Drosophila melanogaster: one gene and its partners. The protein of the gene in region 3 interacts with the protein of the main gene of each other region in a pairwise test. Each region holds a gene or a part of one and is shown on either strand. Other genes may lie near its edges.

Region 1 (10,470 bases), on a different chromosome or scaffold from region 3:
GCTCGTTGGCCACCTCCTCCTCGCGGTAGGACTTCTCGAAGAACTCGCGCACAACCTTTGCCGATCGCCCGGTGGCGTTAGCCTTATACTCGTAGAAAATGCCCGACGGCTCAGTCTGGAACAGATGCGCAGAGCCATCGGCATCGAAGCCGCCAATAAGGCAGGAAATACCGAAGGGACGGCGGCCATTGCTCTGCGTGTATTTTTGTTTCAGCTGGGCAATGAATCTAAAATGAAAGGCCAAAACCATATAGAAGCTAATTTAGAGCGCAACTATTTCACAAATCCTCACCTGGTTATGTACTCGAGGGTCACGGGATCCTCGACATTGAGACGATGGCTCTGGCACTCCACCTGGGCACGATTGATCATGATGCGAGCGTCGGCCGTGAGACCGGCAAAAGCCATTACAACGTGGTTGTCGAGCATGCAAATCTTGCGCACCTTTCGATCCTCCTGCAGTTGGGCCACCGACTTCTTCTCCACGCCAAGCACAACGCAGTTGGCGCCGCGAACTCCGACCTGCGAGGCGAAAAATTGGAAAAGTCCATGTTTGTTTCGGTTTGGCGGCACTGCGAACGGTACTAAATTGCACTTACCGCAGTCGATCCCTTGCGAACGGCCTCCTGGGCATACTCCACCTGCAGGAGGTGACCGTCGGGAGAGAATATGGTTACAGCACGATCGTAGCGTGAGGACATCTTGTTGCTTTATTCAATAGCTGAGGTACTTGCAGAATATTAACTTATAGCTTTTTCCTTCTCGAATTCGCCAGGCAATGATGATGCTTTTTTGAGGAAATGCCGCAGTGTGACCGCAGCATGGGTTCGATGAAAATTACTAAATTAATACCGTTTCGCAGTGAACGATATATCGTTGCTGAAATCATGTATCAGAATCAATTCAATTCTTGTTACTTCAGTCTATTTAATATTCTATTCCATTTAGTCTATTTAAATATTTAATTTAATACTTTTGTAAACCGTTTTACAGCTTCAGGGCTGTAAATAATTTAGTAAAATATCAATTAATTTTTTTTCACATTATCTGTTATTATTGTTATTTAATAATACAAATTTATAATACAAATTATTTTCAATATATATATATATATATGTATTAATAATTATAACCAACGACTGTTACTTAAATGTACAAAATGCAATCGCTATGCCGGCCCTGGTAATCGGTGTTCATCGACAGCTTGCTGCAGCCCTCGTCGTCGCTGTAATTACAATGTGATGTGCATTTGTTTTTGTTAATAAGAATTGTCCGATTAAACATTTAGATTATCTGTTTTTAAACAATGCGATCACGGTGATATCGGTTCGTAAAGGTTTTACACACCGTGTGATTTTGTTTCAGTGCGTTTTGTTGTTCGTTTCGTAAATAAGTGGGCTTCATTTTGCCCAAAAAAGACGGGAGCCCAGACAGCTGATCACAGACTTTGGCTCACACCTGCTACAAAAAGATAATATTTATTCGAAAACCTGGCATTCGGATCGAATTTAGCAGCTGCCAGCGTATTTATATAAGAACAATTTGATTGATTATGGCGCTGCCCAGAAAACTGATATCCAAGATCTGTAAGTAAACCGAATGTTCGAAAGTACCGTTGTATATTCCCACACACACACAAGCACGTAGAAATACGACTGCATGTATATATGTGTGTGTGCGTGCGTGTTTGAAATCCTATCGTAAATTCTAGTGTTGCATGCAACTTCAGTAACTTTTAAAACAATACCACGCGTTCTTATAAACAATGCAGATATCCAATAGGAAAATCCCCAGGTGCACATATGTATGTATGTAGATACATATGAACATTGAGTGCAGCTGCAGCTGAATTGTTCGTTTTAAAGTAATTAATATCTTGTTTTACAACGCAATATCAATATCAAATAAACATCATACGGCTTCTTCAGACTTTAAAATAATATTTGTATATAGCCTTTAGAAAACTTCAATTCAATCCCAAGAACTATAGAAGTTCAAAAAGGTTTTAATCTGGGAACAAGTTTTCAATTTCTTTGAAATGCGTACATTTACGTACATATGTATGTACATATATACTGTACATATGTATGTATGTACATCGATTTCCTAGCTTTATTTTATCTGTTTTGCTTTTCAAAATACTAGTAATCCTTGTCATTCATAAATGTGGATAACGTAAAAGGTACTTATTTATTTATATCGACACAGTTTCCTTTGAAAAGATTCAAAAATCATTATAAAATTGTATTTATTGAGTATATACTAATACGAAAATATCATATTTTTATTATTATATATTTGTTGTAAGTTTTCCTTTTGATCTTGAAAAGCTGTTGTTTAAAGCATAGCTTAATCTGAACATACTAACTATATCATCATATCATGAAAACTTGCCGAAGAGGACTAACCAATTCTCATCCTTTGCAGACGATATAAAGGCACATGATAGCAGGGTCACGAGCCTTGATCTTGGCGAAACTGGACGAGTGCTGGTCACCGGAGGAGAGGATCGCAATGTGAACCTCTGGGCGATTGGTCAAAATGAGTGCTTTATGGTGAATATACTAACTACTTCCTAAATATATGTATGTACTAATCGGTGACCCTTTCCTTTCAGTCTCTGACGGGCCACAATCGTTCCATCGATTGCGTGCGTTTTGCTTATAAGGATAACTTTGTCTACTCCGCCGACGACATCGGTATAATCCGAAGATGGGATCTGAATTCACAGAAAATCTACTCCACGCTAAATGGCCACATGAAGAGTGTTCGCACTCTGGACTTTAACCCGTCTGGAGAATATGTGGTGTCCGGGAGCAATGATACCACCGTCAGGTGAGCCAAGGACCGATATATAAATAGTCAGAGTAACCCATGAGTCATTCGGAAGCTCTAGTTTCCTTATCAAGTGGCAGATTTAAAGTTTATTCGTTGATTGAAAAGGGATGGCGATATTCTCCCTCCCTCTTTTAGCTGTGCTTAATCCTATAGAATCGCGTATTTTGGGTTTAATAATCTACACAAAAGAAAAATCTCATATTTAGAAATTAGAAATTTTATATCGGTTTAATGCACATACATATTAGATGCATTGTATCTATATGGTCTTTTCTTAGATATCACTTGACCTATATATGTGTAAAACAAAGATAATATGACTCACTACATTGCACAAAAGGGGACAGGCTGACAAAGATAATATCACTTTGTGTTGTTTAGCTAAAGTTGATATTTCTTTTGGGATCTCATATATCTTATCTCTCAGATCTATTACATCCATGATCTTAAACAACATTGCATTTTCAGTTATGTGATGTTTTATTGGGAGTTTTATAAAAGTGTTACAAAAAAATACTTCTACCACCACGGGCGTTTAAACAATTGCATATGTATAGGCATATTTGTTATAGTGTATGTACAAAAAAAAACGGACGCGAAACGAATTATAAAGTCAATGATAATCCATTGCGACTAAGGCAGACTATGTGTCTCTAGGTGATCCGCGCTTACAGCTTGGCCTGTGAGCTCTTCAGGTCGACATAGGCGCCGGATATGACCTCCTTGCCGGTCTCCACGACCACGGTGCGGAAGTTGATGCGTGTGCCCTGCTTCCACAAGTCCACGCGCAAAGTCTGGCCCGGAATTACGGGTCCGGAGAAGCGCACTTTGACAGCCTTGAACAGAGCCGGGTTGTTGTCCGCAAACTGAGCGAGCACGGCGCGCACCGAGAAGCCCAGTGTGCAGAGTCCATGGAGGATGGGTGTCTTGAAGCCGGCCAGCAGGGCCATCTGGGGATCGATATGCAGGGGGTTCTTGTCGCCGGACAGACGGTACAGCGCCGCCTGGTCCTCGCTGGTCGTATACTGGACGGTTGCGTCCGGTTGGCGATTGGGCGCCGGCTGCAGCGGAACTACACCAGCGATGGGATCCTTCTTGCCTCCGAATTTGCCAGCGCCGACAATGAAAGTGGTGCTCTGGTTGCGCACCAACAGGCGGCCACTTTCGTCGAACGACTCGCTATTGGTGACGACCACGGCGCCGGATCCCTTGTCCATAACATCGAAGACCTTGCCGTTGGTCAGCAAAGTGCCACTGGTGGGCAGATCGTCAACGATCTCTAGGTACTGTTCGCCGTGCAGAATGTTGCTGAAGTCCACTTGGCTGTTGGGCAAAGCCTTGCTGAGCAGCTTGTCGGTGGACATTTGCAGCAGAAGGCCGGGCAGAACGAAGAAAGTTGGAATGGCGGCGAAATCGGCATCGTTTTCGTACAGGAAGCGCATGTCCTTCGCGTTTTTGACGGATGCCCCAATGCCCAGGGCGTAGGTAATAAGCTCTTTGCTATTGAACTCGAAGGCATCCTCGATGGCGTCGCCGCCGCCTTCCTTGAGCTTCTCAAGCACTTCCAGCAGGGTGCCGGAGGCCTCTGCGATGGCACCCAAGTGCTTGGCCTTGGACATGTCGGTCACATTCGACCACACATCCTTGACGTACTCAATGGTCACGGGGTCGTCCAGCGAAGGACGCAGCACAGCGCCCTTGCCGCGAACCATGTGCAGCTTGGTGGCCCAGCCGGCGGCACTCTCGATATAGCTACCTGTGGATCGGAGAAGAGGGAGAGAGAAAACGTTTAATAAACCCTATATATACACACATGTACACATATTCCTGATAAACGGTCTAAGTTCAAACGCTATCAGTATGAATTTCCCTAATCAGGCAGATTATGTTGACCATTTGGATTGGACTACTGGACATATTAAAGATGACTTAGCAGTGGTTGGCCAAAAATTGCATAATTTTGTAGTTCTCAAAGGGTTAAATTGATACAAATTGATATGATAATCAATTCTGAGATAATGCAATTCTCGCATAACTTCGGATCCCACTTACCATTATCCTCGCAGGACTCGTGGCACAAGTAGGCCACTACGGGAGCAATCAGCTTGGGCTTCAGCTCGTTGAAGAGAATGTCGGGCAGAATGCCCTCGGTCATTCGACTGGCGGCAGTTGGCACGATGACGTTGCAAAGAACATTGTTGCGGGCTCCCTCGATGGCAACCGTGTTGGCCAATCCGATGAGGCCCATCTTGGCGGCAGTGTAGTTGACCTGCCCGAAATTACCATAGATGCCCGAGTTGGACGATGTCATGATGATGCGGCCATAGTTCTGCTTCTTCATGTACGGGAATGCCGCCTGGGTGCACTTAAAGCTGCCCTTCAGATGGACATCGTTGACCAGATTCCAGTCCTGTTCGCTGGTCTTCACCAGACTCCTGTCGCGTAGAATGCCGGCATTGTTGACCAGGATATCGACGCGTCCGAAAGCTTTGATGGCCGTCTCGATGACCTTTGCCCCATCGATTACCGAGTTGTAGTCGGCCACCGCCTCGCCGCCGGCCTTACGGATCTCATCCACCACAATGTCGGCGGCCCGCTGCGATGCTCCATCGCCGGAGTGGGTGCCACCCAGATCGTTGACCACCACCTTGGCGCCACGCTCCGCGAAGAGCAGTGCGTACTCGCGGCCCAAACCGGCACCAGCTCCCGTCACCACCGCCACACGGCCATCGTAACGAAGTTTTCCATCGGATGAGGACATGGTCTGTCTATTGGTCAATAGCAATCGCAATTTCTGGTTTCGCTGCACAAATCCGGTCTCTGCGGCAACGCTTTTTCGGCTGTAAAACACGAATGAACCGATGAAAATAAACTGGTTGGCTAATAATCGAACAAGAAAGGAGAGTAGCACTACTTTTCAATCGTACTTAATCTCAAGCGATAATGCTATCTGCCCTGCCCTCGCATATGTGAGTGTAACTCTGGACTCTTCGGCTGAAGAACGTTACCCAGGCGATATGGTCCAAGTCCAGGGGTTCACGGTTCATAGTCAAGTGCTTTTCGGATGGCACCGAAATCGCCGAAATCCGAGATACAAGATACATTTGCACAGTGACGACAGCACAGTTATTCGAACCGCGTGAAATGGCCCACACACACACACATTAAACAAGGGTTAACTTACAGTTCTCGTAGATTCGCCGTATGATGGTATGGTATGCCCGAATATGCACAGATTAACCCAGTATCAGTGGTACAAAGTGCATCACTATTCGCTGCCGAGATAATTTTGCAATCGTTTAATCGGTTCAACCCATGAAAATGCACTAAAATATACTGCCCGCATTCATACGTTTGTGAGCACTAGAAAGTAGTGCCGTCAAAATGCTGGAAAGCAGTGCATCGCGGACGTAAACCTCGGTTCGGAACTTCGCTAAGCCGTAGCAAAGACTCCAACCCGTTTTCATTTTCCAGACGATTAAATTTAAAAATGAACAATTATGGAAATTACACTTATCTTCCACATTTCAAATTCAACTATGTCTCTTTATTTAACATAGAAATGTATAAAACAACAATAAATTGAGCAACAATAAATGAATTAACTAGGAGATTACATATATTATTGAAACTTTATGAATTACATATGCTTTGTTGCTTATTTAGCAAACTATTAACTTTCATATGTCTGCAATCTCAGGCTTTGGGACGTGCAGAACGAAAACAACTGCATTAAGGTATGTCGCGGCCACATGTCCCACGTGAATTCCGTAAAATTCTCGCCGGATGGTCTTTGGATTGCCTCTGCTGGCCTGGAGGGTTCCATACTCATCTGGGACATACGGAAGAGCAAACAGATAATGGAGTTCATAGCCGATCCGCCGGTTACGGCTATCACATGCGTGCAATTCCATCCGTTTGAGTTCCTGCTGGCCGCCGGTCGCGTCGATGGCACCGTTTCCATTTACGATCTGGAACACCAGCAGCTCGTCTCGCAGACCACGCACTTCTATGGCCAGGCCATCAGGTGTATAACCTTTAGGTGAGTCCTGCAAAGAATAATCCGCAATCGTGAATTGATTTATGAAAAGAAATAGTAATATAGTAATTTTGCCAAAAAGTGCATAAATTCTAATTATCTGCATGTTAAACTTTATTTATTTCAGTGACAATGGCGAGTGCCTTTTTGTTGGCAGTTCTTCGGGCATTTCGGTAATTGGATGGGAACCGGATCGTGAGCTGGACCATATAAAAAGCACCTGGTCCTCCTTGGCGGACATGAAAGTGGTCAACAATAAGTTGGTAAGTGAAAGCACTTACTCATTAAGCGAAGCACCCTTCCAAATCTCGTCATCCCCGTTATCTTTTTTGACAAAAATAATCAGTATTTTGGTCAGAATATTCTAAAAAATGGTCCAAATATGGAGTGTCATACCTCGTTGAGTTTGTTTTTTTAATCCAAATCGATTTGCATTCAAATTTGGGAATTCTAGGTTTTTTAAATTTTTTGCAAATTTTGATGATAAAATTTTGATTATAAAAAAGGCGAAAAATTGGCCAAAAACTAATTTTACAAAATCCGTCCAAAAGTGAAAGGGGTGGTTAGTATTGGTAATTAGGAGCACAAAACGGTATTTCTTTTGGCGGTGTGGCCATTTTTAGTCAAGTTATACCCAGAAAACCAATCTTAAATATTGCATTTTATGCCAAAACTGGTTTCACTGATTTTATGCGAAAAAAATAATCGGTATTTTGAGCAAAACATTAAAAATAATGGCACAAATATGGAATGTCATAACTTGTTGAGTTTCCGAATCAATTCGCATTCAAATTTAGGAAATCTAGGTTTTTCACTTTTTGAAAAACCAATCTTAGATCTTAAATGTAAAATGTCTACAAATGGAATATCCAATAAAAACCATTGCACTTCCTTTTGTAGATCTGTGGTTGTCATGAGATCGACACCGTTTCAATCAACACCATCAGTCTGGATCGAGTGATACCATTCTATCAGCCGCCAAACTCACTACCCAACTTTAAGCACAACTCGACGAACCGAAAGAGCTTTACACGTGGCAACCAGAAGTTCAGGCTGTCAGTTGGCGGTGCCAAGCCGGCACAGGTGCAGGAGGAGCACGAGGGCGACAAGAGTGGATTGTCCTCGCCCAACTATAGTCTGGAGGTTGTGAACGAGGCGGTGCTGGAGTCGGCGGAGACTTCTCCAATGTCCTCGTTGCCACCTGTCCACTTGGCTTCGATGGCCGGATCGTCGGCGGACTTGGCGCCGCATCATGTCGTATATGGCGGAGCAATCGATTCTGCCCTAAGGCAGGGTAAGTACTCCAGAGTGCCTGATAATATGGCCAGCTATGGCAGTAGTTACGGGGCCATCGATACCCGCCTGATGTCCTTGAACGAACCCAGTTCACTGCACAAGCCGGACATTTACAATCTATATCCGCTGGACAAGAACGAGGAGGCGGATGTGCAGCAGTTGGAGTTCAATCTGAACGATAGCAATCCGCCAATACTCAACAACTATGATAACTACGAAATGGCCGAGGACTTTCCGGTCAATCAGAACCTGAACTACATTACCAATAACTATAAGCCAGTGCCCGCAACCTCCACGATCAACGCCTCGTCCAAGTCGATCAAGAAGACCACTACCACCACCCTGCACAAGAGGACAACGAACAACATGGCCGGCGCGAAGCAGACGTCCACGGGCATCTTTGGTGGCAGCAAGCTAAGCCAGGTCTCCTCGGTCAGCTCCATGGAACTGCACAAGCTGGACGACAACATGGTACTGAAAAAGTCCTCCTCCTCGAATGTCGTCAACAAGAACAAGCGGCCAATGGGCTCGGCCCAGAGTCAGTTCAGCAAGGAGAACAATCAACAGAAAAATATCAATGTGGAGATCATCACAAAGCCACCGATGCGATCCCGCACCACCCTGGATATGCGTACGTCGCACCAGGCTAAAACTCAGGAAAAGCAAATTCACGTGAGTGCTTAAAAACTTCGCTTGGTGCCCTTTATTTAATTAATTAATTAATTAATTAATTATTCCAGCAGCAGCAGCCAATGAACAATCGCATTATAATGGATGATCACGACTTCGATATGCTCTCGAGATCACACGAGGCTGTGCTGCAGGAGCTGAGCAATCGTCAGTCTAGCCTGGATTTGCTGCGGCACGCAACAAGGTAAGTATTGGTTAAACGGTCTATTTGAAACATTCGATCGATTGACACATCCATTGGTAATCATGTAGGTCTCACGATGTGCTGGGCGCATTAAGGCAGGCAAGGAGCTGTGGCAAATCCATTTTCATAGATCTACTCGGAGCCATACTGGAGAAACCGTAAGCATAATATTATAAATATTAAAGCGACAGCGATAACAATAGGAGTTTAATCCCATAACAGGTCCTCGTGGAACTTGGACTTCTGCATGTTTGTGCTGCCAGAGATTTACGAACTCTTGCAAAGCCAACACAAGTTGTAAGTATGGATAAACATAAACGAAAAGGTAGCCCAAGTAATCCCAATCTGTATTTTAGCCACTTTACGAGAGCCTGTGATACCCTGCGTATTATATTGTCGAACTTCTTGCCAACTATACAGGAGAACCTCGATTCCTGGGCCGCCAATGGCCTGGGCGTCGATGTGACACGCGAGGATCGACAGAGGAAGTGCGCCGAGTGCCAGCGGTGGTTGTTGCAAATCAAGAACCTGCCCGAGAGCACACACTTTGGGTCCACGCTGTCACAATTACAAAACATAATTATTTTCTAAGGGCAACGCATATCCAGCTGTAGATGCTCCTCGGCGTTCAAATCAGCTCTTGAACGGTACAAAGATCGTCAACAAAAGAAAACCACCAGCTTCCCAAAGCCTGATTACGAAATCCAGTGTCCTGGGGAGTGGCCTCATTTGTCGCTCTAAGCTGCCAAACTAAGGAATTTTAAACAATCGTTTCCGGAACAGCAGCTCTAAGACGAGCTCTTCCGAACGCTGTTTATCCAACATTAACATTAACCTTTCGGCCATCTATTCATCGTCATGTTGCGATGAAGTCAACTTGTGAACTAAGAAAGTTACGTATGATTTCTTTCGACACAAGCTAATTTCAGCAGACCATGATGATTGAAAAATGGGCCTTAGTTATTTAATGATTTGTAATATTAATTTGTTATGCAAACTAATTTATATAATAATTATTTACCTATACCTAAGTCCCAAAATTTGAAAATATATAAAAGAAAACATACGTGAATTCTATAAACTATTTGCGATCAAATATTCTTTTAGGTAAGTACACTTTTCAGAGTTTACGACTAATCTAAAAAAGTTCATGGCGATCTAAAGCAAATGTACATATATGTGTATGGTAAAGGTATGTTGGTGAAAGAAAGAAATGAATAAAATTAGATTGTTAAAAGGTAGCTGATTTATCTGTTTTTGTTAGATTGCAACTAAACTAATGGCTTTACATGCATTTAGCACACAGAGTAGTGCAATCAGAGAAGTTCTATATTGTTTATATTATTATGCTTATTTTTGTGCAAGCGGTGAAATCGGGGAATGTACTGCGAGTATTGCGGTTCACTGCTCCAATAGAATGACC
Region 2 (9,379 bases), 6.7 Mb from region 3:
AGAGAGATAGAAAATAAAAAGTCAATAAAACCAGTTAAGGTCAGCCCCAGTGCTGCTTGTGTAATCAGCAGCATGCTTTGCCGCCGTTGCAGATGCTAAATACATTTTTATTTATGAATAATGTGATGTGCTGACGCCGATATTGATGTTGCTGCCGATGCTGATCACGTTGCCGCTGCGCTGCGCCACAATAAAAATGAAAATGAAAATAATAAAGTCTCAAGTGTCGTCGATCGTCGATGGTCGGCGGTCGATGGCGTTTGGTAGTCACTGTGGCACTGTGTCAGTGGCCGCCGGGGGCAACCGGTTGCGCATCCTTGACATAAAAAAGCGATCTCGACCAGCAGCTTACATCTTCGGATCGATGCGGATCGTATTGACCAGCGAGCTGAAAAATTTATACGAAATTGCGTATACGCAATATGGGCAGAGGTGGTGGCGAACAAAAGGGCGCGGCATCGTTATCGCTCGATAATCGTGTACAAATTTATGTTAATGACAACGTGTTAACAATTTGCATATCTATATCTGTACCTGTACCAGTTACTTGCCAAATCGCATATGGCCTGGCACTTTGTCTTACCAATAATTCAAGTTTCATGTTTTAACAACTTTTCTCTCTCTTTGCGTTCCAGATGAAAGTCACCCTGGCAATAGCGACTTTCTGCGTGGTGATGGCCTGCAGCCATGCGGCCAGAACCACAACGACAACAGCGACCAAGCCGGGTCGCTTCCTCTCACTGCCCGTGCCCGCCAAGTGCGCTAGCCGTAAGTATATCTATCATCAAACACCATTGCACACATACCCGAAACCAATCCCACAATGGCGAAAAGTAAAAGTGACGAACGCGGCGAGAATATTAAGCGGCTTTGATTGCCAAGTTTGCACTTGAAATAGTTTGGCAATGCGACGTGTAGCTGTTGGTGTAACCACAAATGTTGAGGGGATTTTTTTTTTTTTTTTTTGCTGAAGGTCGTCGACGTGTGAGCCAGCTTTATGGCGCCCTATAAGACTCACTTTCTTTGCCCGCCTTTTTCGTAAACAAATTCCATTTGATATAGTATATATTATATATATTTTTTAAATTTATTATATCTAATGTTAATGTGTAAATGGAGTTGTTCGCCATCAAATTAATTGATTTCCTCTGCACTTTTAAGCTGATAATTGTTGAAATCCGAAGGGGCTTAACAAGCAAATAGTTCAGTTGAAGTGGATTTTCCTCATTTATTCTACGTATGATTGTCGCTGCCAGTCATCGCCTGAGATTACTAACCATTGCATCAGGGCTTAGAGATCGGGCTAAAACGGGCGAGACGCCTGAACAATAGCATCATCGCTGCATATCCGGTACACTAATGAACACTTTGCAGTTATTGCTAATTAGACAAGCCCTAACTCACACCGGCGCACACACTAACGTATTGCTAACACATACATACATGCACACATTGAGACTTAGCCAAAGCCGTTAAACATGCAACTTAATTTTTGGGGCGTCACCGGAGTTGCATATCCAGTTTTTTGAAGCCAGTGCCGTTGGCAGCGACTTAGATCTTTCATCTCTTAGAAAATTCCAGTTATACAAGCGCAGGTTTTTTAGGTCTGCCTTCCAATAGTTAAATCACCTGATTAATAATTCCACTTAATTACCTTTTTGTAGACAACTCTCTCAGGCGTGCATTCGCCCGATAATTAAGATTCGAAAACGTTTCGGTTTTTCTAACTCACTGTTGAAAGATGCCAATCGAAAAAAAAAAAAAAAACGGCATCGACACCCGGATTATTACGCAAGTTTCGGGTTAGGAAAATATATATACATATATGTATATATACATACAGTCAAGATGAGTTTTAGCCACATTATCGCCTTGACCCGCGCACAAAAAGGGCCAGAAATGTGAGGAAATGGCAAGTGGCAGCCGAAGCGGCAGCAAAATAAATAATAATGTGCAAACAATGGCCAATAAGGCTATTATGTGTTGGACTTAAGCTGATTTGACGCTTAGCGTTGCCCGCCTGCGAAGAGGCGTGGCAGGGGGGCAGTTGCAAAAGTGGCCTAAAGCGGGGCTAATGACGCGTGCCAACTGTGGCAACAGGCGGGTATATCTTTACTCAGTTTTTTTTTTTTTTTTTTTTGGGCGCGTCCGAGGGGCGGACATATCGCACATTGCGAAGACTTCCAAAGAGGCAGCTAATCAAATGGTAGCTGGCAGTTGGTAGTTGGTAGCTGGCAGTTGGCAGCTTGCTCAGGCGAAACAAGTTCGAGGATGGAGTTGTCAGGCGGGGGATCCCATTGTTTCCTCGAAAAAAAAAATAAGCTAAAAAGCAAATATATACGCGGGGAAGCTGAAAACCTTTTGACACCCAAGACAAAAGGAAAGCGGCGGCGTCGGCGGCAGGCGCAAAAAGAAGCATGCTGCATAAATTGCGCGGATTGCGTAACACGCCGCCACCGGGGAAGTTGTGTAAGGCCCGGGGCAGCTTCATCCACTGGCATCCACATTGGTATATATAGTATCTCTTGATTTTCGGCGCTACTCGCTTTCGGTTTCGTTTGCCCATGATGGGGCAGGCTGTGAGATATTGCACTGGGCCTCCGACTTCAGATGGAGATGGAGATGAAGATGAGGCTGCAGCGGCGCGGAAAACCGGTTGCCACATGCCACACCCACACGGGAAAAAAATTAGTTAATTCGGAAGCAAAGGAAAAATGCATCTAAGTTTGAATCTTAAAGTTCAAAGGTCTACTATTATTCAATAGTTAAATTATTTTTTATATATTTTGGAAAGCCATAACATACCCCTACTATTTTCTCAGTGCAAGCATGAAAACAGTTTCCGCTAACCGACTTTCTCCTCGCTGACCCGCAGGTCCCAAGGAGTTCTCCTACCGCGGCAAAAACATGTTCCTAACCACCCACGTGCCCGCGCTGGCCAACAAGAAGGTCGATTGGTTGGATGGTCGCAATCTGTGCCGCGAGTACTGCATGGATCTGGTCGCCCTGGAGACTCAGGAGAAGAACAATCTGATCTTCCGCGTGATCCAGCAGAACGATGTGCCGTACATCTGGACGGCCGGACGTATCTGTGACTTTGCTGGCTGCGAGAATCGTCCAGATTTGGAGCCCAAGACCGTCTATGGATGGTTCTGGTCCGCAACCCGCGAGAAGATCCAGGCCACCAACCGCATCCCACAGGGCTGGGGCTACAACCCATGGTCGCAGACTGGCCACAAGAAGCGCCCGCAGCCGGACAACGCCGAATACGACATCAACCAGACCAAGGAGCAGTGCCTGTCCGTGTTGAACAACGTGTACAACGATGGCATCGCCTGGCACGACGTGGCCTGCTACCACGAGAAGCCCGTCATCTGTGAGGACAACGAGGAGCTGCTGCGCTATGTGGCGGCCACGAATCCCGGCATCCGTCTATAGAGCGGCTCGCTGGGCGTTCGCTGTTTGCCTAATTTTAAAGCTACTTATTATAATATTCCTTAAACGAGTTTTTGTATAATTTTTGTTTGTATGTGTACGACGAAAACGGAAGAAAGCAAGACAAATAGACTTTAGAATTTACAATTTCCGATCCTACAAACACCACAAAACCACCCACCCACCAAATCCACAATACTGCTTTCATCACACCTTAGCACCCAGCACTTAGTCTCACTTCTCCTTCCTCCCTACCTTCGAAACTGCCAATTTTACGCGTAGAATTCTATTCCGTTGTAAACAGTTGAGTCGTTTTCAGATCGCACCTTAAATATTTATAGGCAATCCTAAATTGCAAGTGTTTCGCTCTGACCCACTGTCTGTCATTCAAGCAAGAAATTCGGAATCTCTTTAGTATTTTGTTTGAGACACTCATGTTTTGTCCACAAAGAGATTGAATAAAATTTTGTAAAGATCCCATAAAAAAGAAAACACTTGAATTAATACTTTGGTTTTTATTGGCAATGGTTGTGCTGATGATCGGGTGTTGTGGAGTTGTGATGATGATGATGCCTCTTTGATCTGCGATCGTCATGTGAAGATCCCGAGGAGCTGTGCTCTCTTTTAGAGCGCACGGAACTCCGGTCACTTCTTGACCTGGAATGATGATTCCGCTGTTGGTTGTTTTTGAGATCCCGACCTCGGTTGCCCAAGTCCTTGGAGTTTTCCAGTTCAACCTCGGGGCTTGCCGACCAGCGCCAGTTCCTGCCGTGCTCGCTGTGCTCATCCCAACTGAAGAGATAGGGAAAGTATTTAAATAGTTTGCCGGAATATAAACTAATATTATATTTAAATCCACCTGGGTGTCTTGGCCGTTGGAGTTTGGCTGGAGCGTCGTTCACTGCGTGGACCGCTGGTGTACTCCAGTTCCGTGTTGAACAGGTTGTTCGGATTGCCAAACAGGTGCAGATAGCCGCAGTCGTTACCTTTGGGACATTTACGTGTTAAGGACAAACCTTTAAGAAGTCACAGATTGTGTTAAAGAAAATGGTATTAAAACATATGAATGGGCTTGCTTTGAGTTTTGGTTTTTTAAAGGATACGGCTTCCTCTTGGCATGCAGTTCACGTACCGCAGACTGCGCCGCGCCAGGTCCTCAGATTGGAGAACTCCACGTTTAGTCGCTTGGAGGCGTAGTAGCGACCTTGGAGATTGGTAAATGCGCGAAGTGCAGATCTGAAATCATGACGTACGCTTTATAATAATTAGTTTATGACCTCTTTAGACATTATTAACATAACATAAAAGTATGCAAGCGCAGAGACAATACAATATATATATTTTTTGGCGAGAGAACAGGTATAAATTAAAATTGTGAATTATATGAATTAACTTTTACATGAAAATGCTGGGAAATAGGCTGCATTTGAATATCCGAATTGCTTGCATATAAACAATGTCATATTAATTAAATAATAATAATGATAATTAATACTCTCAGACAAACCGTTCGTTTGTGTACTCCACAAAGACGTGACCCCTGAGGTGTTCCAGCGTATTGCGCACCGTGCGGAAGTTGACAATGGTGCCGAACTTTCTCAGTTCTTCGACGACATCGTTGAAGAACTCATCGTAGTCGTGGCGCAGATCCTGTTCGGTCAATTCCAGGTGTTCCTCCGCCGAGGCGTACTCCTTGTGCGTGCATCGCTTCTGCAGCATGGAATGGTTGAAGAAGTGCCGGATGAGAAGGATCCTTCCCAGCATCGGGCGGCGATGGTTGAAGGTGCAGGCGTGACCGTAGCGGCAACAGTTGGTGCGGCTAAAGAACTCGCAGGCTCGTTCCTCCGGATGCGTCTCCATTACACGCAGAAGGTGGCTGGGTGGCTTCTCGATACGCGGGTTGTTCAGATACTCATCCATGCTCTCCATCATGGCATCGAATTCGGCGGCAGCCTTGGCGGCTTTTCGTGTCTCTTCCTCGCGCTGCTTCCGCTGTCTCTCCTCCCGTTCCGCCCGCTCTTTCGCCTGTTCCCGCTGCAAACGCTCCACTTCCTCCTGCTCCTGACGCTTCTTCGCCTCGTCCATTTGGAATTGTCGCTGCGCTGTGGCTTCGCGTCGCAGCCAGGACTCCTCCGCCAACTGGCGCTCCCGTTCGTCGGCTAGTCGTTGGAATTCCTGCATTTCCTCCTGTTCCTGCGACCATTTCTGGTACTCCGGCTGCATAAGTCTTTGGTTTTCCGCCTCTTCCTCCAGTTTATCACGTTCTTTGGCATGTTTTTGACGACGCCGCTTCCTCTGCTGCTTCTTGATTAACTTTCGCCGTGCCCTTTGTATAAATTATATACATTAAATTAAATTATACATTATATTTAAACAAATTTATAGTTATTTACTTCCTTCCCGGCATTTCGCAAAATCAAAACATTGAATTTCGGTGAGCAGCTGAAACGCATTTGTGAGAACACAGCTGATTAATACCGTGTACAGGGTCTATGAAAAATACCACAAAATACTGCAGCACGAAAAAAATTACATTTTTACATTTACATATTTTTCAAAGTTTTCATAAATCTGGCAAATCAAAAATGTTTTGTAAGTTTTCCCTCAAAATTAAGATTTCATATCATAAATGTTTAAAATTTACGAATTCTTACGATTTTTGTAATTCAAAATTTATTATAAATTATAACAGTCTAATATAACACCAAGTTTCGTTCTTGCTATAAAATGTAAAATAACATTGCTGTATAGCACAATGCCAAAAGCCTCAGTTCAACTTACACTGCTATAAATTATGTTATGTGATTTTTATAGCACTGTGTCGAAGAGCTTTTAAAATTTAATAGAAGCGCTTAGTTTGAATATTTTCTTGTTTATCAGATTTGTATATTTTGAATTGAACCGTTTATTCAAGCTTTTTCTCAATTCCCCCTTCCATCGAACCAGAAACTTTCGAACTCGAAAATTCCCCTCTGCAACAATGTTGCCAGCAACATTGTGTCCGGCGATTGCCGAAGATGCGAAAAAAAATCAAATTCAGTGATAAAGTAAAATTCGTGCGCGTCGGTTCACCTACACTTCGTGTCGCCAGAGAAAGCCTTTCTCCTGGCTTTCTCTCTGAGCTCTCCTTTTGCGCTCGGCTCCGAAATCCGAAGTCCGGAATTTGGACTCCGGCTCAAGCGCCGAATCGCCGAGCTTGGCTCACGGAAAACCAACTGAGTTGTGCGAAACTAAGTCAAAACAATTGATGTGAATTCTCGCGGCACAACTTGATATTAGATAAATGAAATAATTCGCGCCGCTGGCACTTTGAACTCGTAATCAGGTCGCAAGCATATTCACGGTTTTTTGTGTAGTAACCACAGGAATTCAAATTCATATTCGTTGAGATTCTCGCAATGCGGCTAATTGGATTTATTCTGAATTTGGCAGCCCTAACAGGTAAGTGGTTCTTACACTGGGAGAAAAAGAAAACAAATGTTATCTAAATACATAAAATAGCCTGATTCTAAAGCTAGCAATTAAGGGATATTTAGAAAACAATATTTTTGGATTTGATGCTATCAATCCATAGATGCTATATTAGTTGTAATAGTAGATTTTTGTAACCATCACTTATTGAAATGCAATTAAATAACTTAAATATAAACTTAAAGAAAGAAGAACATATATCGCAAATTAAAACAATATGTTCTTTACTTACAATTTTTTTCTGTACGCCTAAAAGGGGCATTTAATTTTCAATAATAAACGATTTGACCGCATTTGTTGCTCTAGTGTTACATTGGCTGAGGTGGTCATCGAGTTCTGGAGGGGATGTGGATGGGGATGAGGATGTGGCGACCTCTTCCGAGTTACGTTCTGCGTTTTATTTTCGGACCCATGAACGGTGTTTATTATGTTCTTGTCTGGTCGATGGACAGTTACGAGCTTTAGTAGTATTCATAATGTGGTTGTTGTGGTTTTCCGTCTTCCTCGTCGTCGTCGTGTCGTTACGTATTTATCAATATTTGCCCTCTGTATTTAGTTTTGTGGCTCAAGTGTCTCGTGGCTAATAGAAAATCGATGCTGGCACATTGTTGCACATTTCGCTGAAGTATCTCGAAGATACTGGGAAAGTATCTTGCCGCTTTGCAGCCCTTTTGCGCTGTTCTCACTGCTTTCTGTTGGATTTTTTGAAGTCGCTGTCAGTCAACGATGTTTGCTCTTAGTCTTTCGATCAATTTTCACTGCCTAAAAGCTGTCTGAGGGGTGTTAAGTCGCACTTGAATGGCATTTTCCATGGCCTGCCACATGCCTCTGATTTTCCATGGAACCATTTTCCCGTTTTCCCGTTTGCCATGGTCCTCGTCTCCGGACGACACTTCAATCTGCATGCCCCACATTTATGTGGCGCTGCGTTTTTGGGCTTCTCGTTGCTCGCTGCTCTTTGATTTCTTTCGTCCTTTTGGCCCGCACTCTGCTCACTTCGTCCTGCGTCCTTGCAAATATTTAATTTAAGCCTGCTGTCATCTCTCGCCGAAGGGTATCAACATTTGCTGTCGCCTCTTGTCGCGCAGTAAAGTGGCAACAATGGTTTTATTTATTTCAGCAAAGCATAAATGATTAATGTAATTTTCATTTGCTCAACAAATCTATTTATATGAATAAACTTCGCATTTTTGTAAGCAACGTTTTTTTATAATGGGCAAGTGCATGTCCTTAGTTAGGGACTCCCAACTTCGCCTTGTTTATATACCCTTCACTTTGACCATTCTTCGAGTGGATACACTGCAGCTGCACTTGCTTTTATCCCTGGTAACTGAATCCTTTTTGCGCCCCATTCCGTTTATTGCTGTTGCTCTGGCCCACTTGCGGTTTTGTTTAATTACGCATATTACTCCGCCTTTCGCCGCCAGTGTCATCGCAGCCCATCGCATCCTTCCGTTGCATTCGCCGTCCCAGAAACCGACACATCGCCATATTCCCAGTGCGAACCCCCCCCCCCCCCCTTTAGTTGCTGTTTCTGTTGCTGCGGTCACTTACTGACTGGGACGAGTGTCTTTGGTTGGATCTCTCTTGAGGCTTGTCAACGGCAGGGTGAATTTCCGGAGACGCCTGAGGTCGGTAGATGGAGTCGAGTTGTTTTGCGGTTGCCTCGGGCACTTCCGCCTGCCGTTTGGGGGTTGCATGGGTTTGGGTTACGTATTGTCAAGTGACCAACTGGCTCGATCTGACCAACTGGCTTTGAGGATGACCAAGCTGGCAGCTGGCAGGCGGCAGTCGTTGCCAAATCGGGCTGGTTAATTACTTTGCTAAGTGCTGCTGTCCCATCTCGCGCAGTAAAGCCCTCTGTACATCTCGAATTTATCATATTTACCCAGTAAATTCCACAAATTAAAATCAATACGAAGCCTGCGGCAGGGGGCGCAATCATTAATTATACAAGCGGCCGATGCTGCTGATGCTGCTAATGAGGTAAAGTGTCGACAGCAACGCCCCCAGTGAAAGAGTGTCCCATTACTTTCGACCGCCACTGTGCGCCCTCATCGCCGGGTGGGTGTGCACTTTTAATTGAGGGAAAGGTCAGCGTCGCATCGATTTAAATGCAAAGCGAACCGTAAACAGAGCTATGGACACTGGACCTGCTCTAGATAATGCCGGTGAATTTATAACAATTAGATAATTATTTAATATTAACTGAGCTCATATTGAATTATATGGTTCTTTCAGGAAAGTGCAAAAATTGGAATGCAGAATTGAAGCAACTTATTTTAAATTCGCAGTTATTTCTTTTTACCAAAAAAACCTAGCTAGTGTATAAATCAGCATGTAAATCACTCCAAATCCAATGTGCAGTTTCAGTGTGACGAGGGGTTTGTTGGGGCCGCGGGTTGTTAGTTGTAGGCGTAGATACATGCCCACGCATGGTTCGTCGCTGGCGATTCAATTTAGTTTGCCACTT
Region 3 (13,007 bases):
CCGCTATCAGCGAATACGGGATGTACGCCAAGCGCCATGTGCCACAGGCGGTAAGGCATGTGCCGAAGTACCCGAGTGATAGCGAGAGCATTGGTTCCGGTGTTCACGGAGGATATGGTGGATTTCTTCAGTCCAACCATATGCCGGGAAATAGACACACGCAGCTCTTCCCCACTTTTGGACCCGGTGGTCGGGGTAACCGGAGATCCAGTCCATTAACCCTACCTTCACCACCGCCTCAGCAGCAGTTGCAACAGCTACCTGCGGCGACGGCACCGCACGACAGCGTTGGAATACCCACTGATCTGGACTACCATCCGCACCATCACACGCAGACCAACGCAATGCCACATCCACATCCCCATCCCCATGCTCCTTACTTGGATTACGGGCACGGTCTAGGGATAGGTCCCTATATGGGGGTGGGCGGTGGAGTCTCGGGAGTTGGCGGAGCTATCTATGAAGGCGGAACATTCCCGCGCAAGAAAGACAATCAGCGATTAAGGATTCCATCTAATCCCAGTGTGGCTAGCAAAAGCAGCAGTATGGTGAAGAATAGCTCTGGCAGCATCGACCATCATTATGTGACGAGCACGGGGCCAGTCTCTGGTGGATCCATGTCAGCCTCGTCTTCAGATCGTGCACCTATGTCACTGATGAGCTCTAGTATTCACAACAGTTACGGTGCAAATATTGCAGGAGGAAATGGAACTGGATCGAGCATAGGAGTTGGAGGAGGCGGTGGAGGAGGAAGTGGCCGCGGTTCGCCCATGCCGCAGGTCCATGTGGAAGTCCTTAGCCATGGAGGCGGCGGAAGTGGCAAGCGCAACTCCAATGTGCCTGCGGATTTTCTCTGCCCCGGAGACCTTAGAAGAGTCACCATCGACAAGCGCGACAAGTCGCTAGGTATCACCATTCAGTGCAACAACAACGGCGGCGGAATATTTGTGTCAACCGTCGCTGACAAAAGCACGGCGATGCGTGCCGGTCTCCAGGTGGGCGATCAACTCTTGGAAGTATGTGGCATTAACATGCGGGCGGCCACGCAGGAGATTGCTGCCAATGTGCTGCGGCAGTGCGGCGACTCCTTTACAATGCTCGTTCAGTACAATCCGGAGAGTAAGTTTATCGGTCAGTCCGTATACTCATCCCATTCTAATTGTGCTGTTTACTTTTTTTGCAGAGTTCCCTTCAATTGAGTACGAGGGAGCGCACAATTTGGAACCAGAATCTCCCATCAATCATTCGGGCTCCCCGACTCCGCGCAACTCTCCCCGTCCTCCTGCCCGCAACTCGCTTTTCCCGTTGCCGATGCAGCCGCAGGCTCCTTCAACGAGACCCGGCTCAAGGGCTCCGCTGTCGCATCAGTCGATTAAGGACCAGAGCTTCACCGATAGCCTTGAGAACCAGTCGGATATCAGCAGCAGCCAGGACATGCCTTCATCGGCGGCCACCACCACCACAACGACTGCCTCAGCCACGTCAACGGTGTATGATGAGGAACCTAAGCCATCCTTGCCGCCGCCACCTGCATCCGTTCCAGCAGAGAGTACGTAGCCACCACTCTACACCCACTACTAACCACACTCCCGGGATAGTAGCATTTCCCCATAATTCGTGCCTTCGACGGAGAAGGTAACCGTGCAGCAGGAAGAGTTTCCGGCTGTATCAGGTACATATTCTCAGGGCCGTAAAGAACAAGGATTTTAGATAAAATGGCTCGAAATATTTTAACTCCCAAAATCTGTAAATTCTAAAACGGAAGTGTATGAGCGTTAGTTTCACAAACACATTATGTATCGCAGCTTCTTCCCTACTAACAAAGCCGTCAATCTTTCGTATTTTGCACATGATATGACTTGGACTTTCAATTCCAGCTCTAAGGTATGTGACTCTGCACATGGACAAGTCAAAGAACCTGGGCATCAAGCTATTTGGGGGCAATAAAGTTGGCATATATGTGCATGACGTCGCGGTGGGATCGCCTTCTGATCATGCTGGAATTCGCAAAGGCGATCAAATACTGGAATACAATGGTGTAGATTTGAGCGGAGTCACCGCTGAGCAGGCGGCCAATGAGATTTCAAAGCTTACGGATACGGTCACCATGTTGGTACAGAATAAGTTACACAGTAAGTGGTGAATTCTTTCGTTGATTATGATTATGATATAATGTATTCCCTACAGCCCTAAAGCAAATTAAAGACGAGCCTGGCGACTCCTTTTATATTCGCGTGGGGTTTGACCGGACTGGTGAGTTGAACGAGGACGATTTGCGCTTTGTTAAGGACGAGGTGCTCTACGTGGACAATACGGTTTTTAATGGCACCTTTGGCTTGTGGCGAGCCTGGAAGCTGGATGCCATGGGCCATCGGAAGGAGTGCGGCATAATACCCAGTCAAATGAAGTACGTTGGCAAATTACTTAAGTTTGAATTAGTTGCACATATTTATATATAATTGCAGGGTGGAGGAGGAACTGCGTTCGGGTGAGGTGGTCGACTGTGATACGGGAACGGCCAGACGCGGCAGCACTTCGGCCAGAAGATCATTTTTTCGTCGCAAGAAAAACCAGCGCAGCTCGTCCCGCGACTCCACGGAGATTGCCAGTTTCAGCAACACACAGCTTAGCTTCTTTCCAGACTTAGGTCTGCTCAACGATGATGGTGGAGCCCTTAGCTACCAGCGTGTAGAGCTTTTAGATTGTACGTACATTTTTTATGAAAACTAAAAGAAGTAAGTTAATGTAAACACAATCTTTTAGCACCCATTCGCCGGCCCGTGCTGATTATCGGACCGTTGTCCGAGTGTCTGATGGTTCGCCTTACAATTGACTTCTCCAACCTCTTCAAACTGTGCGAGGTGACGGCCATGGACTGTTCGCAGGAGGCCATGGAGGAGGGTCTAAAAGAAAACATCTTTGTGGATTATCGGCGGAGGGGCAACAAGTTTGAATGCACCACCGTTGAGGCGATTAGCAATGCCTGCAAAAATGTAGGTAAACTCCAGAAATTTTCAGACATCTTCATTAAATATCCCTTACAGGATCGACGCCACTGCATCCTTGACGTTTCCATTTCCGCCGTGGAGCGTCTGCAGCGCCTACAAATCTATCCAATTGTCCTCCTGCTGCGCTTTAAGTCTGCCAAACAAATCCGAGATATTCGCGACTTTGGCACCGACAAAATCTCAGCCAAGGCGGCCAAGGAGATGTACGAGCGGGCCATGAAGCTCGAGACCGACTATAAGCAATACATATCAGGTATAACTTTATTTTAATTAATCACAATTCAATGTGAATAATTGCTTTCTCATTTACCTGCAGCCGTAATCCCCGGCGTCAGTATCAAGCACATGTGCACCCAAATTAAGGATGCCGTCGACAAGGAGCAGGACAAGCTACTTTGGGTGCCCGTATCGAGTGGCTGATCCGATCGGATTGCCGCCTGGACGGACAGTTTGGACATTGGAGCATCCTAGTTTTAGTTATTAGCACACAACGCGACACTCACGATTAGTATTTTCAATGCGCATCAATAGTATCATATTTGTATTTGTTTTGTTCAACGCAGAGTATTCGATTGGCGTCAACTTGCAACTTGGAAGTTAGGGCGCGGTATTTCTACCTGTTTCTTGTCTCTGTCACCTAATTAATGTCTATAGACTTACTCTTTATTTGCGGTTAGTCCGACCGCTCTGACGGCAAAATATGGTCAGCTTTAATCACAAAAATGGAAAATGCTTCCACAATTTATATATCTAATTTATATATACCGTTTGGAACTAGATTTCCTTCTCTGGCGACATTCTAAGCCAAAAGTCTGTTTGTATGCAATTTATTATTATGTAATTGTAAGTAAAGGCATCTTATATTTTTTTATTATTTACCCAAACGATTCGATAAACTCGATGGCAATAGAGCGTGGCTTTAAAGCCTTCAACTTTTCAACTGTGTATATTAAATAGTTTCGACTATCCAATTACCTTCGTGAACCGCTTCAAAATCAAGCTTTACTTAAAACTTATCTAATTCTGGCAACTGCCTTTGCCCGACTACGAAATTAAAAACGCGACTAGCTAAGCAACACTAGAAATTTTATTTAAATGTGTGATAGACAAAATGCTATCACTAGCCTTAAGTGGTAAATGGTTAAACTGAAATGAAGTGCCTTAAATGCCTTCAAATTGCTTAAAAAAAAAAACAGAAAACCTTTTCTACAAAATAAATACAATTTATAAATCTAATTTATCATCGTACACTTGTGTACATAAAGAGTAAACAACAGTAATATATCAACGTATTAAATACAATAAAATCTATTTTATACATAAGCATTCTAAATATACAGACTACATTTTTGCAATAAATATTTTTCCAGAACGCCTATGCTTTCGTTTAGGGGTCCATCAAAAGATTTGGGGTTTATGTTATGGCCACGTTTATGGTTATCCTTATAGCTATCATTTGAATAAATAAATACATAACTCTAGTAAATACCATCGTACGCAGCTCAATGGCCGCAATGCGTTCGTAAGTATTTCAAGGTACATTCGCTCTGCAGTTTTTCCGTAAATCGGGCATTATGTTGGACTATATTTACATTAACATAACGCCGCTTTTATGATTTAATTTATAATTATTGATTACTTATAGGTTTAAAGTGAGATTGAAGGTCTGTGTGAAATATGATCGAAGAATGATCGAAAGTTATTAACTTGATCGGTTGAAGTTTCTTAAATGTGTATTGTAAGGACTAATTGGAAATTATAGCTTAATTCTATAAAACCTAATACTACTGTACAATTGTTCACAGGAGGGAATCTAATGGGATTAGTCCTCCAAGAAATCGAACTCATCACGTGGGCGATACCACTCTTCCGTGGCATGTTCGTAAATGGCCCGTTGGACCTCCGCCTCGGCAGCCTCGATGGGATCGGATTTTGGAGCATCGAAGCGACTGTCGGACCGTGGACTACGTGATGTTGCGCGGAACTCCATTGGTATATTGTAGCACTTGCATATGCAGCTGGACGGGAATCGGAACCAGTCGGAGAATATCCCGCGGCACTCGTTATGCGGATCGTAGGCCAACAATCTGTGGAGGCGGTACTGCTGTTCACATCTGCATCCATCGCGGCAGAACATTTGCTTGAACTCGTGGGTGCACTTCTCCCAGTGGACGTACTGCTCGAAGGGATAGAGATTGAGGAGGGCTAAGACCTCGCCGCGGGTATTGTTTGCCCAAAAGGGAGCCACCACTTCATCCTTCACGGGACAGGCATTTCTGCAGAGAGATCAATATTGTATTATATAATTTGATAAGCAAATGGGTCATATACTTACACTCCACGCAAGTTGCTGGCCACAGCTACGGGCTCTTGCTTCATGGCATCCTGAAACAGCTGACCCTCCCTTAGCAGTCCAGACTTGCTGGCGCTTCCGGTAGAGCTGCTCGCTGGAGTTCCACCCGCCGGAGGGGATGAAGCTGGAGCACTTGTACTGCTCGTCGTGGTCAAGGGTCTGCGCAACCTCTCCGGACTAAAAAGCCCGCTGGAGGTGCCGGAGAAGAGCGAGGCGAAGCTGACGGGCGTGGTCACGGATGCGGGTGAGTACTTGGTTACATTGCGACGTATCAGCAAAGTTGCTGTTGTTGTGGTTGGTGTCGAAATGGTACTCGAGACTTTTGGACTGGCTGCACTGGTGGTCGTCTCTGCCGGTTTCCTTTTCCTGATGGGTAAAGGTGTCGTGCTCTTGGGCACAGATGTGGGCTTCCCAGTTGTGGCTGTGGGTGGTTCTTGTGATGGACTTGCCTCTGCGCTTAGATTACGAAGCCCCAACTGTGGTGAGTCAATGATCTGTATATTTTCACCAGCTGCGGACGAAGGTTTGGCAGTGGACGTGGTTGAAAGAACGGAAGGGGACACCACTTCGTAGACGCTGTTCGATTCTGGACTGGGCTGGATCTCCACAATGTCTGTTTCCGATTCGGGTTTTTCGTGTAAAGGTGGCGCAGTTCCTTTAGTAGTACTTATCGTACTATTGGTATTTCCAGGCGTTGTGTCGGTAACCTCATTTGGAACTCGTTCCGTGGTGCTACTAACTATTTCCGGAGCAGTGGTTGTAGTCGTCGTAGCCTTAGTCGTACTTGTGGTAATCGTGGAGACAGGTCGAAAGTGCGGCTCCATTAGCACATCGTTGCTCTTGAAGCTTCCGAAATCTTCACGCTCACGATCGCGATCTCTGTTGTTCATCAGATACTTGGCACTCCGCCGTCCGCCATCCTTGCTATATCGCTCCGCCGTCTCCTCAATGTCGTCCGCATCCACCTCGTTGTTCTGGATCTCATCCCGCAGGATGGAAATGTGCCTTACATCGCCGTACATGCGCTTCATCAGACCCTGGTTCTCGTGCACGAATCGTCGTACAGCGTGCCATGGATAAGCGGATCCTGGCAGGTGGCAGAACGCCTGCTGACCCAGGTCGCAGGGAATCGCAGCCAGGATCTGGGCCCTACCACGTCGCGATATCTTCCCATTGGGACTGCACGAGTTGGCCGAGTCGAAGCCAAATCCGGCGGAAGAAAGTGGTAGAGCAATCGTCATTAGGATCAGCAAATACCCGATAACCTCGATCTGCAAGAAAATATATGGGAAATATAGTCAATTGGTTTATTGTCCCATTTTAAACTTTCCATAATAAAATGTTTTATTAAACTAATCTTTTACTTCGAATGAAAATGCATGTACGTTTCACTTCTTGTATATAAACTGTTTGTTACTTTACACATTTCCTGGTTTTCGAAAGGCTTTTTATCCCATACGGATTGATTGGCCAAATGACCCATCCAGCTAATGGAAGTACTCAGCAGCTCCAGCTGAGCAGAGGAAATCTTAATTGAAACCACAATCGCTGGCTGATAAGCAAATGGCGTGACGCTAAAACTTCAGTTTTTGTAGCAGCATATATTGTGCAGGCAAGTGGGCTCAATGCACCTGGACCAGAGGACAGACTGAATTGGCCGGGCGGCTCTCACTCGGCTAAAACGAATGGCCAGAGCCGGTAGAAAATCAAATTTTACTTTCACGCAAAGCCAACTGGACAATCACAAGTCATAAAGATGATCGATGTGCATTTGCATCCCACCTTCAAAAAAGCAACGCCAGAGAGAATGGCCGCAATTTCAGCAATCATTGCACAGAGACAAAGTTTTAACACTTTCTTTTAAAATTTAATTAAATTATATAGGAGTATATTATGGCTTAAAATTACATATATATATTTGTAAATAAAAGAGAAGTTATAATAGTATAATTTAAAGACTTCTTTTTCTTTGATCAATATCTGATACCAACAAGTTTTTCTTACTGCATGGATACCACCACGCCAGACTAACCGCCGTCGTAGCCACATCACCCTGCCGTACCCTCCACCCCCCGCACCACAACGCACCGCACCACTCGAATGGCTGACCAACAACCGGCAGCTGGCGGCGGACAACTTGCAACTGGACAACACCGGCCACTGGCAGCCGGCGAAGTGAAATGCAAAGAGCAATCAAAAGCGAAATGGGTTACCCAAGTAAAAGTAAATTGCGCCGCGCTCGCTGGAAAAGTCATCGCATTTCCCGCCCCACCTCCCGCGCCCTGGAGCCCTTTCAACTTTCCTTTTCGGTTGCACAATTGCCGCCCAAAAGCCGGGAACATTGGTCTGCAAGTCGGTCCTAATAGGGTCTCTTGGACTCGCAATCTTGGCTCTTTCTTTGACAACCAAACCGGTTGGCCAAAAATCATATGCACCCCGTTTATATGTACATATATCTCATATATGGCGAGCACATATCGATCGCGGGTGAATCACGAAAAGAAAAGAAAGTGATCGGCTCCCTTGGCGGATGTGTGTCCAAAATGTGAGCTCAACACGATTTGCCATGCGGTTAGGTAATAGTGATTATTGATCTGTGTTTCGTTTCGGGAAAATTCCAGCATCATTAGCATACGTAAGCAAGGTCAATGCATATGATATTTCGTAATATTTTCCAGCCAATTTTCGAATACCTTTTCTAAAGTTATCCATTCCATTCAGATTTGAATTTAATATAGATATTACTTTTGAGTATTTTTCTACAAATGGAAGCTATCAAAACAATAATTTCCAGCAATCATAGCTAGAAAAAAGTTGAAAGTCTTCTCCGTTTCTTTCAAGCAAATTATAATTATTCTCACACATCATGTACCCGAAAGAAATTTAAATATCAATGACAAGGTGGAATTCCTGCTAGCGCTAACACCCTTTTCTCCCAATTGGGAAAAGTACTACAATCAAGTGCTCCACGGCACCCAGACCATGGCAATTACGAGAAGAAAGTGATCTGAGCTCTGATTCGGAAACCCGAGGATGAGACCGCAACTTGGGTGCGAAACAAATGGCTCTACGCGAACTAATTTGTGTTGAAAATCAAATCAGGTCAGACCGCAAGAGGCGAAGACGCCTGAAATGGAAAGCAGAATTACTTTCGCTTTGTTCGGCTAAAAGTAAATAAGGCAGCCTGGCATTAGTGCCGATTGTCATGTGCATCGGGACAATTAAGCCGAATCTCGTTCATTAACATTGTCATAATTCTTGGAAGCGCAGAAGCCACGGCGAAACTGGAGCAAATACTGCTGTCAGTGTCCAAAGTCGGCGAAACAAATCAATATGTCCAATCAGCCGTGAGAGCTTGCAACTGCGCCAGTCTGTGCTGGCAGAATGTCTTGAATCGAGCTGGTCTCATTCGATTTCACACAGCTCGAAAACATAATTCAAGAAAGTAAATTAATTAAGAAAAAATTAATTTCTTTAGTCTAGCCAATTTTGAATTAGTTCTCTTTAGTTTTCTATGCTCAAGAAAATATAATTAAATATTCTTCTTAGAAACTGTATTACTACTGGTAGCCATTTGTGTTGGCTCGCTACTTTTAGTTGCTCTTCTTGTGGCAGAACTGAATGCGGCGACGCAGTGCCGATGCTGCGGTGCAGTGCAAATGGGCATTAAGTCAACTCGCATCGAGGAAGACATTTGTCAATCTTAGACGATGCCGAAGCTGTCGTCAGAGAAACGTATTGCAACACTTTAATGTGTCAGCGACTTTCTACGAAAACCCAGTCCGCACGGTGGGCAGGAAGGCGGGCGGAGGGGGGAGGGGGTTGGCCGCGAGGAGGAGACGTTCCAGTCTATGTCTTCATTTCCCAAATACAAATACAATGTTGCCCGCCAGCAGTCCGTCCGCCCGACTCTCTTGGCGAGTGGCTAGAATGAATTATTTATAAATTCAATTGGCTCTGGAAATGAAGTTGATGTTACACTTAACCAAATTTGGCCTGACCGCTGCTGTTTCTGCTAATTGCCAGGCGAGCAGCTGGCAGCTGGCGAGTGGTGAAATTTTCCCCATCAAAACAAAAGACTCAGGCGACAAACTCGACGAGGTTGCAGGCCAGCCGAAACAAAAGACTCAGGCAACAAACTTGACTTTGACGTGCTGCAAGCTCCTCACTTCCCTTCCCCTTTCGAGGAATAGTGCATATTCATGGCGAAATGTAAAATTAAGCGCAAAAATTTCACTGATTGGACACCGCCGGAAAAGGCCGCGAACTTCGTTTCCCAATTTTGGCAAGTCGATATTTTTGTTTTTGGGCAACCGATTCGCTTTCGGTTTGAGTTTTGGTCTCGACTTTTGGCTTGGGCCAAATCCAACTAGTCGATCCCAAGTTAGCCGCATTGCTCTCGAAGAAAGTGAAACTTTTTATTTTATTCCGCTTCTCTCTCTCTCTCTCTTTCTGTCTCTTTTACACTCCTTTGCTTGGGACCGGCAATGCCAGCCAGTAGAGCAAACACAGCGGAAACTTTGAGCATTTTCGTTGTTGGTTATGCTTTTATGATTGCGTAGTCATGCGTTAAAAGAAAACAAAACCCACTCGCGGACAAGGGGCAGAAGTTGTTAATATGCATAAAACGCTTAGCCCAAACGTTTATCGATTTCAACACATTTTGAGAAAAAATGACGGGGACGCGTGACCATCTTTTAATTGCGATTTCATTTTCATCAATGGCTTGTGGCCCAAGGGGACACCAATAACGAAATATGCCCAGTCGATTGATTAATTGATTTTTGGTCAATTAAAAGGAGATTTTATTGGTTTAGATATGAATATTTTGGTTACTTCAGTAAACGAAATGTGACATACCAATGAAAGTCATAACACAATTTTATACATTGGTTCAAAGTTGTAAAACGGCAAAAATTGCAACACAATACACAATAGTCACTGTTTTCTTTTGTTAATAATAAGAACTGGTAAAATTTCATTTTTTTTTTTATTTTAATTTCAAAGCATATTGAATATTTAAGTATTTTTGGGGCTTTGAACACTTTGCATTGCTTGTATAACATCAATATGTTTACATTGTGGCCTGTATTTACCATCTCGAGCTTCGCTGTTGTTTCTTTCGCTGTTGCAATTGTTTAATTTTTGACACTTTCTTATGCAAGACGACCGCCTTGGGCGATCCCCACTTACCGTTATTAGTCTAGTGATCGGCGATCGCCTATCCATTTGGGTGCGCACCATTGTTTACTTTCACTCGATTGACACTCGCGTCGATGGTAAATGGCAAATGGCAATGGCAAATGGCAGATGCCGACTGCCGAATGCAAAATAGGCGCAAATAGAAATCTGTCAAAGGATTTGGCAATGTTTCACGCAGATTTCACACTCGCACGCTCACACACACTCGCAGGGCAATGAAAATTAGTGGCAAAGTCCATATTTCAATACAATCGCAAATCGTCTGCAGTTTCCGCGACCTCAGGGGTCCCGCTTCTGTTTTTTTTTTCGTTTTTGTTTGGTTTTTTTTTTTTATTGTTTTCTTTGGACCGGGCGCTTTTCCCACTGCGCCGAAATCGAGGAAATCGAGGAGAGCCGACGAAAAGCCTGAAATCACGTTCACACGCCTCGAACTCACGTTTGCAACTGCGACGCCACCAGCGGCTGATCAATCCCAAGTCCCACGGCAAACCGTCGGCCTCTCTCTTTCTCTTCCACCGCCGCGCACCCAGCTCCAATGCACTGCAAGAAATTGGTGGTGCTTCTATGGAAGTTAAGCGCACCCATACGCAAAACATTCAAATTCTTGAACTACATGTTGTAAATCTAGAGTTGCGAAACTGTGCACTTTGTCAATCTCTGGATACCAACTTTTTTTTAACAACTATACATTATTAAATAATAAATATATGTTTTCTTATTTAACGTATATTGAGCATAATGCGCTCAACACCTTTGTTATTGATTCTATTTTTGTTTTAGAAATTGAATTTAATGTGCATTAATTTTTCATTATAAGAACAACACAAGTATAAGCACTATTCAACTAAATTTGAATATAATATTTGATTAACTTATAATCTCAAAAGCCAAAAAAAATCAGTTTTAAACATACATTTTGATGGATTCCCTGAAATAGAAGAGATTAAGAGACTTTTTGGAAAGTAATAAGAATCTAGAGAACTTAACTTAATGAAACTAAAGTTACTTAAAATTAAAGTCCTACAAAGCTAATACTAACTATTTTAGCTGTTACTTCCATTTTTCTTCCGAGTGGAGAGAAAATCGAGTGACGAAGTGAGAGAGCAACGTTGCGATTGAGCAGCGAAAACGCTTCTTATTTTTACTGTGCGGCTTGCTTTTGTTTTTGTTTTTGCCTTTTGGTTTGCTTTTGCAGGAAAACTTTTTCTTATTTATTATTCGTCGACAAACGCTGAAAAACGACCCAGCGCAAAAAAAAAACTAAAAAAAAAAAAAATTAAAAACACGGGAGTACATCGACAAGAAAAAGCGCCACACGCAACGAGGAGTCTTCGGAAGACAGTCTTCGGTTCTCGTGGTGCCTCCACCGCTCCAATGCTCCACCGTTCCAATGTTCCGAAGCGGAGAGTGCGTCTTAGTAGGTCAGTGGTGGACCCGAGCATTTGTTGTTGCCTGGGCTTTGTTTTGATTCATTTGCGGCCGCTGGTGTTGCAAGTGTTGTTGCTGCTGCTGTTGCTGCTGGCGAGGATTAGACGCCTCGTCGAGAACAGAGAGCTTGTTTTGGCGCGCATCTTCGGGACTTGATTGCGGGAACTGCACTTAGCGAGGGCTGACTGTGTAATGTAATAAATAAATATAAATAAATACCATAAGCCATCGAACAATATATATATATGTTATATTTTCTTACGTTAATGTTTTTTTCATTTTATATACATATTTTTATTTTATTTGTTTGTTTTTTTTTTAAATTATTTTATAGTGATATAAATTTATACTATACTATGTAAATGCATTTAATTACTAATTTTAGTATCTATAAGGCGGTGCATAGCAACTTTCGATACTGTTTAAACCACCTCCGCTGACAGCAAAACAAAAAACTGTTGAAAGCGGTCTGCTGTCCAGTCTAACCGCGGTTTAATTATCGTTGTGTGTTTATTATGTCCTCGCCCGCCCCCCTAGTCTGCCCACCGCCCACTATCCACCTCTATGTCTCTCCCGCCCGTCAGCTCCGCCCACGAGACGCCGCACGAACAATATTGTAACCGCTCCTCATCGTCCGTTTTTTATTGGCCACGAAAACTCCCATTGAGTAAGAGTTGCGCCACCAGGTGGTGCGGTGGGTGGTGGGGCGGTGCGGATTGCTTGGCGGATGTAGCTAAGGTCCAGCAGTGGAGTGGGTGGTCGCTGATGGATTTTCCTGCCTTTTTCCGCTCCCTTTTCTGACCGCAAAAAAAAAACTGGTTTTCCCCCAAACAATTGCCAAATAATTGCTATTGCGAAATATTGTGCAAAAGCGGCTGGCTCCACAGCATTCATAAGAAAAGTGCCTAAGTTTGCAATAATGTTGTATCTTACGGTTAAGTTAAAATATCTATGATATAGCCCATGCTAAATCATATCATTTTGTGTGAGTGACACCCGAAATAAAGGAATCGTAT

Evidence for each region.
Region 1: the proteins of spz4 (region 3) and Mfe2 interact in a two-hybrid assay, tested with the Drosophila melanogaster proteins (one large-scale study listed by BioGRID).
Region 2: the proteins of spz4 (region 3) and CG3294 interact in a two-hybrid assay, tested with the Drosophila melanogaster proteins (one large-scale study listed by BioGRID).

Annotation. Positions count from the first base shown.
Region 1 is NC_004354.4:16,266,649-16,277,118, reverse strand, and holds Mfe2 (peroxisomal multifunctional enzyme type 2), read right to left. Parts: upstream 6,169-10,470; 5' UTR 6,023-6,168; intron 5,716-6,022; exon of another isoform or gene 5,679-5,715; 5' UTR 5,600-5,678; coding exon 4,891-5,599; intron 4,595-4,890; coding exon 3,507-4,594; 3' UTR 3,304-3,506; downstream 1-3,303. Other genes in the region: Prosalpha4 (proteasome alpha4 subunit), read right to left, coding at 1-227, 293-522, 600-701; kat80 (katanin 80), read left to right, coding at 1,553-1,586, 2,428-2,555, 2,618-2,835, 6,539-6,880, 7,005-7,140, 7,778-8,845, 8,914-9,047, 9,116-9,205 and 2 more. UniProt on the Drosophila melanogaster protein: Bifunctional enzyme acting on the peroxisomal beta-oxidation pathway for fatty acids.
Region 2 is NT_033779.5:4,791,135-4,800,513, reverse strand, and holds CG3294 (uncharacterized protein), read right to left. Parts: upstream 5,857-9,379; 5' UTR 5,843-5,856; coding exon 5,829-5,842; intron 5,762-5,828; coding exon 4,943-5,761; intron 4,672-4,942; coding exon 4,568-4,671; coding exon of another isoform or gene 4,560-4,567; exon of another isoform or gene 4,539-4,559; intron 4,452-4,538; coding exon 4,295-4,451; intron 4,228-4,294; coding exon 3,951-4,227; 3' UTR 3,933-3,950; downstream 1-3,932. Other genes in the region: slf (schlaff), read left to right, coding at 636-768, 2,876-3,438; fipi (factor of interpulse interval), read left to right, coding at 6,834-6,876.
Region 3 is NT_033779.5:11,499,721-11,512,727, reverse strand, and holds spz4 (spatzle 4), read right to left. Parts: upstream 11,014-13,007; 5' UTR 10,606-11,013; coding exon 10,555-10,605; intron 6,633-10,554; coding exon 5,344-6,632; intron 5,285-5,343; coding exon 4,831-5,284; 3' UTR 4,079-4,830; downstream 1-4,078. Other genes in the region: Dlg5 (discs large 5), read left to right, coding at 1-1,119, 1,184-1,549, 1,878-2,132, 2,188-2,407, 2,466-2,704, 2,764-2,993, 3,045-3,261, 3,325-3,428.